2 linked regions of the Schizosaccharomyces pombe genome follow. The gene in region 2 interacts genetically with the main gene of each other region. Each region holds a gene or a part of one and is shown on either strand. Other genes may lie near its edges.

Region 1 (3,757 bases), 2.4 Mb from region 2:
AGGGAATCCAATATATCAAGGTCAAATCCTTGCTCCAATTCTTCGCAAGCAACAATTAGCTGATTGATAAATTCCATAGTGGAAGTACAATACTCAAGAAACGCTATGTTTGAAGGTGAGCTGGAAGCAGAATTTCGAGCAGGAGAAGATGGAGGGGTTCGTGCTAATTCTTTTTCCAAGATTATGTCTTTGAAAGATTTTATCCATCCAAAGAATAGCGGAACCTCCTTTTCATATTCGGCATTTATTTCTTTAAATCCAGTTTCCAATATGGAGACCACAAGAGGTTCCTTTAAAGACAGAACCCATGTCAATAAATCTGCGGCTACTTTCCTCGGAAGCAAATTTGGGGATATAAGGGTCACTGTTATTGCTTGAAATATATAAGAATTGGAAGTAACCAGAGTAGGTTTTTTCTTCAAAAGAGTAAGCATGCAACGAGGAACTTCAGCTTGCTGAGGCTGCACTACGGCAGACGAATTAAAATATGTAAGTAGATTATGCAAAGCTCGAAGTCCCTGCAGTTCAAGAAAAAGAGATATCCATCGATCGGATTGAGTTGATAATAAAGAAGAAAGTGTGATAAGTTGTAAATTACTAATTGTTTTATTCCATAGTTGGATTACGAACCAGGAAACAGGTCTATGGACGGCAGCTAATTCTGGAATTTGGAAAGAAGGATCATCAAACCCGGCGAAGTTAGAACGAATAAAACACCACTTTTCATCTGGAGTACAACTTTGAAGCATTTCAATGGCGTTTTCGTCAAAATCAAATACAGGGTGTCTTAAAAAATCGTTGAATAGATGTATTAGCTGATCCAATGAAGGTGGTCGAGTACTCGGAATTTCAAACTGAAACGAGCATACCGAATTAGGGCTCCCAGCTCGAATTGAACGTAGTCGATAAACTTGTTCATCATTAGTAGAAGTGAATTTTGGGGAAACCTCGTTGGTAATCTCAGGGACTTCAACAACAGGAGCAAGTTTATGCTTAGTTCGCCTTTTTGTCTTAGATACTGGAACTGAGGGAACAGGAGGTTTCGGCAAAGGATCAAAAGAGCGAGAATGTACAGGGGGTGTCACTGGAGCAATTTGGACATCCTCAGAACTTTTAATAATGTTTTTGGGCAACCTAGGACCCTTGAGATGTTTAGAAGTGTGCAAATGTTCAACGGAAGACGAAGATGGTAGATCAGTGACTTCAACTTTATTCGCTTTGGGTCGATGGACAGTAGATTTCTCGGGTGTTTTAGGTAAAGGAAGCTGGGAATTTTGCAAAGCATGTTTATTATGAGAATTGTACTCTTTCGATGAAAAGGTAAATTGCTTTACATACGGAGAAGTAACTGATTGGGACTTATTAGGCTGGATTAACGTCGATACTGATTCTATGGATGATGGAGGTTTATGGTACGTTGTTTTGGACTTAGGAGCCCTTGGCCCAATAGTTCTTCTGGCTGATGGAGTTGGAGTAGACAGAATAGAGTCATAAGAAAAATTAGGGTCCTGTCCCTTTGACGAATTTCGCATCTCTACTTCATAAACGAATGCAGCATTGTAATTGCTTTCAGGATCTTGTTTTCAAGTATTAACAAGGAAACTGTGATGAAAAGTTTTAGCTCAATTAAACCTTTTTTTTAAATTTGCTAAAAGTTGATGTTCAGAACTTGTTGACCTTCAAATTTGGATAAAGTGGAACACTTAGCGAGTAAGGGTTGGGATGGCTTAAATGATCTAAGATAATACGTATACTTGCGAACAAGTAAGTTGAAAGGAAATGAAACTTCGATATATCTAATATTATAATGGTTAAATTGCGTTATAGCGTATTAAATTTTATTTTTAGGATAATCGAAATTCTCGTCTTGTAAGTCTAGTCTGCATTTGGATGCGGTTTCTGGTTGCTTAAAACGTTGTTCAATGAGAAAATACATTCGTGAAGATCATTTTTACTTACAAAGCATTCGTAACATATTTTGTTGTCACGTTGAGCTAAATATAACCAGAAATTTGCAAATAAACGAGAATCACAAGAACGAATCCATTGGTGCTTTTATTTACATACCATATTAAATTACAATAACGAATTTTCACAATTCGTCCCTAAGTGTTCGAGTTAGAAATTAAAGAAACCTATACGATGCGCTGTATGTAACGATAAGTTTTTATAATGTTGAATTGATTTCAGCTACTAGCTTTAATTCTACCAAGCGCTTTTTGAACAGTTTAATTTTTAAAGCTACAATCCGGTTAGAAACATAAAGAACATGTGATGGTTATTTAATTAGACTAAATGATAGTTCTCAAACTAAAGGCGAGTTGCTTAGGATAGTGCACCTTATTGTCAGGTCATTCCAAAAATAATTACTAAAGGAAAAACCAGAAAAGGTGAGCTAACTCAAAGTTGTAAAATAAGTAATTATGCCTCTGTACTGACAAATGTCGAACTTCTGGGTAAGATGGGCTTAGTTATTAACAAACGAGGTTGAGAATAACACATACGTAGTAACAGCATTTTCAAAGAAACAAAAAGTCGTTTTGATCATTAATACGCCATTAACAGATACCAATGAGAGTAAAGTAAAGGTATCGTTGTGTCAACTAAAACTTCTTTCTAGTGTGATCAAATTTTGACCGTAGCAATGAGCCGGAAGGTGTAGAGGAAAGAGGTTTCGTGGTGGAAGGTGATTTTTGAAGACTTCCGACACCTTCAAACAAATCGTCAAAGGTACTATGTTGAACAGAAGGTAATCGTCGTAAAGGGGGAGACGAAGCAGAGGAAGTGGAGGACGATAGCCTCCTAGGATTGGCCGGAATATATGAAGCTTTTAAATTTGAAGGAGCCGCATTACTTGCATTTATGCTAACTGGGGAAGTAGGTCCTGTGTTAACTGGAGGCTGCCATCCAGGAGGACGAAGCCATTCAGGTAATGTCCCAATTTTGTCCATATAGTATTTTCTCATTACACGAGCAACGTGAGTATCTTCAATCGTATTATCGCTTTCAGGGTCGCGAATACGATTAATTTTTGAAGAAATCGATAACTTTGACCACATGATGAATCGAGAGTTCGCGTTTCTTTATGTACTACTTAATCTCTAAATTTTAAAGAACCTTGGCATTTGAATTCAAAAAATTTCAATAAAAGTAATTAATAAAAAAGTTTAGCCATTATTATGATGCCAAGAACGGCTTAATATCTGGCGACGCGGATTTCATAAAGACGCCAACTCGCTAAACTGTCTAAAGTGATTAATAACACGACCATGAACTACATTATATGTTTTAACGAATGTAAAATCAGCACATAAATAGATAATTTTATTGCAAATGTCCAATTGATTAATATCTTACAAATAAAAATAATTTGTGGGTGGATTTAAACATTTAATTTAGATACTCTCGAAGATGATGCATGAAATCGGCTAAAAAAAAGAATGAACGATGAAAAGCTTGGTAAACAAAATCAATACTGAGCAATCTTACTATGTAGTAGCTAATTAAGGTATACATAATTTCTAAATGGACTACGAAAATGTAGTTTTAAAATAGTTAGGTAAGTTTTAATTTTACTACTTGTAGTCTTCCAAAAATCATAAACTAGTATCTACAATAAAAATTTCTTTAAATTAAATATATGTCGGTGAAAAAGAGCCTCGCCCTTAATATGTATTCACTACGAAAACTAAATAAGGATATCGTATATATTAGTTGTTCTGCGTTCACAAAGCTGAGTGCATTTTTGGAGTTGAGC
Region 2 (3,757 bases):
GCTTTCCAAGTTTTTTCTTAAAAGAAAAGCCCGAACAATTGCCTGTAGAGCAATGAAAGAGGATGTTGATGCTTTTAATTTCTCCAATTTCTCTTTAAATGCCCGACGAATCATAAATCCTCGAGATAAATTTTGTAGTTTAATAAAATTATCCAGTTCTCCCAGAAGTGATCCATTTAATCTGTTTATAGAATCCCTTATCAAGCGTCCTTTGCAAATAGAGTGAAAAGAAACGGGAAACGATTGTACGGAATCTAGAAAGTTAGACCATTCATTCCGAAACATATTTGCACGCAGTATACTTTGCATCCGGTTAAAGAGAGGGATATAGTTGTAAAGGTTGTCAAGCATATTAACTATTGCATGACGGGTAAGAAATCCTAAAGCTGAGGATTGAATTAACACAAATGATGGTGTAAATAAGTCTAGCCTCTCTATTAACGAGTGGTATTTACGACGATAGAAACCCCCACGAATAATGCTTTGTAACGTTTGGATTGACTTCGTTGCCTCCTCCTGTAAAACCACTTTACGGTATTGTGCACGTATCAGATATGCACGAGAGATGGATTGAATAGAAGTAACCCAGTTTACAAGTTCATCGTATGCTTTCTTTCGTATTCTGTATGTATTTCTAGATATATATCCACGAATTACGGCTTGCAGAAGTACGACAGAAGAACTTTGTTCCACGAGGGATTGTAACATATCCACCAAACGCAAGCGCACAAGTACGCCACGACCACAAGCTTGAATCGCGTTCACGATTTTCTCATCGACAGGGCTACGCTGACTAAGTCCAGAAGTGGTAGAAAATAGTGCCTCCCGTCTTCTTGTGGGTGCTGAAAATGTTGTGAGGAAAGATCGTTGCATATGTCCCTTTTGAGAAGGGGGTTGAAAAAAAGAGTCTTCGAATTCGATTGAATGACTAGGCAAAGTTTGTTTATATGGTTCATTAAATTGTTCTAACGAAGGTGTCGCTGATTTCGTCCTTCTGTGCATCTTAAGGATGTCTGAACGAGCGCTAGCATCTTTCTTCGAAAATTCTAAAGTAGGAGAAGTATAAGGAGACGAATATATAGATGCAGAATCTGATGAATTTAGGGTTTGGAAACGAGCATGCTTGGGAAATCGTGTAGGGGAAGGAGTGCGAGAAGAAACAGGACTAGCACGAAGCATAAAATCGGCACTTAAAGCTTTGAAGTTAGGAAGGATTACATTAGATTGTCGGAGTCTACGGACTATTATTGAAACGTCTTCATCAGTAAAAGATAGATTTTCATCACTCTTGATTAAAGGGGGTGCCAAGTCCTGCATAGAAAGGAAATAAGAAAGGGCATGAATACAATAGATAACTTTGGGTAAATTTTTCCCTTCGTAAATGTCAGTCAGTTCGAAATGAAAAATTTCGGGAAGCCCAATGCCATGGATAAAGTCAAGAAACTTATTAATGTTATCTGAATGGCGAAACTGGAGTTCATTAGAATAGAATATCTTGATTAGTTTATCGGGTTGAAATTTCTGAACCAAGAGAGCCAAGACAACTCCGTTTCGCAGCGACTGCTCAAATGTAGACGTTGGTCCTAGATCTGTGCCGAGGCATTCTTCTATCCATTTTTTTGCTTCATCAACCCTACACAAATAATCATATGCTTGAAGGGTTTCTCTTTGTTTGGCTGCTAAACGAGTGTTCGACCCTTTCGTGCCAACAGGTGCCCCAGCTTGAGATTGAAGTCTAGATAATCCCACATTTACGTCCATTGAGACTTCTGATGACTACCTACTCAGCATTCGATCTCAAACTAGATAAAGTAACTGCACACAATTTTTCGGCTATGTTAGTGGAGAGTAGCTGTTACTCAGACAAAGAAAATGTGGGTTATCAAGATGAGTGGGGGGTTTTTAGGTGTAAGTAGTTTAATTCAAGATACTGTCCGTTAGTGACGAATTTACTCTAATTATTTAGGTTATGCTATTACAAATGAAGGTTATTCATTTTAAGACTACAATACGTATGAGTTTTAAATAATTAACAAAAAAGTTGTCAAAATCACATATTCATGTATCAAAAAAAAGTCTACTAAAAGAGATTTTAACAGTATCTAGTTTGCATTCTAATCTTTTTTTCGGTGATTTAAGGCTTCACCGAATAGCTACGGCGGAACATGTCATCAATACCAGTAAGGTAGTAAGTACCTGAACGAAGACGTTCGATGCTTCCTTTGGGAGTAAAATTCTTTTTCAAGTGTGCTTGATGGCGTAGCTCAATAGCCTCTTCATACTGCGTAGGGGTTAAACAATGACGATTATCCAAATCGTTAACCAAGTTAGTTTTCTTGGCAATTTCAGAGACGTCGCCTTTGACAACGAATGAAAAAAACGAGGCAGCCAAACCAGAACCATAAGAGTAAGCACCGACGCGTTTTCCTTTAAGTTCATCAGCGGGGACACGGCTAAGTAATGCAGTTAAACAAGAGAAAATACTGGCAGTGTACATATTACCACAGTTGGTAGGGGCATAGACACTAGGGGAAACTCGTTTGTTAAAACGCTCTTTAGTTATGGCCATAAGACCTTTTTCTAAAGCCTTGTCGGTAAGGGATTTCTTAGCATCCAGGGTGCTAAGAAGTTCACGGACACCTTCCAACTCGGGATTAGATGGTTCAGCAGCGCTATCGGTGTACAATAAACGCGCATATGCTTTTTGGACTTGTTTGCAAGTAGGAGCGTGGAAAATGCAATAATCAAAACGATCCAATCCAAGTCCTTGACTTTTTCCATTCTTAGCAACATCACGAACATTGTAATTAGCATATGCTCCATCAAGAGCTTTAACATAACATTCAAGAGAAAAATGGCCATCAACGTAAGGGTATTCACTCGTCAAATCGGGTTTGTAAAAATCGTAAGCATGTTGCATGTAAGTACCACGTAGACCAGGTTCAAAAACAATAGGGGCATTAGGACCAACCAAAAGGGCGACACAACCAGCACCACCGGTAGGACGAGCATTGCCCTTGGCATAGAGAGCAATATCACCAGCGACAACTATACCATCACGGCCATCCCAAGCAGAAGACTCAATCCAATCGATTGTGTTAAAAAGAGCGTTCACGCCACCATAACAGGCATTAACACAATCAATACCTTCGACATTGTGGTTATCCCCAAAAAGTTGCATTAAAACACTTTTGACAGACTTAGATTTATCGATGATAGTCTCAGTTCCAACTTCCAAACGACCAATCTTGCTTATATCAATTTGGTATCTCTTGATAAGTTGAGAAAGAGCGGTAAGACCAAAGGAATAAATGTCTTCACGATCGTCGACAAAAGCCATCTTAGTCAAGCCGAGGCCAATAGTATACTTTCCAGTAGAGACTCCATCATGCGCTTCGAGGGCAGCTTGTTCAACATACTATAGGGTAAAAACGATTAATATCAGGTTCTGAAGGAATTTAATGAGAAAGTATTTCTATTACTTTCCTCTGAAGCTTGCGTAAATTTGTACTATTGAAAAAAGATGTAGGTAATGCATGCAAATAATTTGGAGGAGAAGTTTTGAAATAAAGTAGCGACTCATTTATAACATACCTGATTGGGAGTGTACAACACGAGGCCCTTAATACCAATATCTTTTCTATCAAAGGACATTTTCTTGAGTTTCTACAAAGTGTGAGGGTTTTGAAAAAAGATTGCACTAACCTATTTGTGAGGCGACTAAGCGGAAAATTATCGAAGTATCTTGGTTATGGTT

What was found. Genes that interact genetically often act in the same process or in processes that back each other up.
Region 1: mutations in rng2 (region 2) and cdc12 are lethal when combined (synthetic lethality), as found in Schizosaccharomyces pombe (4 studies listed by BioGRID, with this or other methods).

Annotation. Positions count from the first base shown.
Region 1 is NC_003424.3:281,251-285,007, reverse strand, and holds the start of cdc12 (cytokinetic formin Cdc12), read right to left. Parts: upstream 1,665-3,757; 5' UTR 1,533-1,664; coding exon 1-1,532. Other genes in the region: exocytic docking protein Mso1, read right to left, coding at 2,604-3,059. UniProt on the Schizosaccharomyces pombe protein: Plays a role in the cell cycle. Involved in cytokinesis. Component of the cell division ring. In the absence of profilin, caps the barbed end of actin filaments, thus preventing subunit addition and dissociation.
Region 2 is NC_003424.3:2,643,521-2,647,277, reverse strand, and holds the start of rng2 (IQ motif containing GTPase activating protein), read right to left. Parts: upstream 1,851-3,757; 5' UTR 1,762-1,850; coding exon 1-1,761. Other genes in the region: hcs1 (3-hydroxy-3-methylglutaryl-CoA synthase), read right to left, coding at 2,135-3,418, 3,595-3,654. UniProt on the Schizosaccharomyces pombe protein: Component of the contractile F-actin ring; required for its construction following assembly of F-actin at the division site.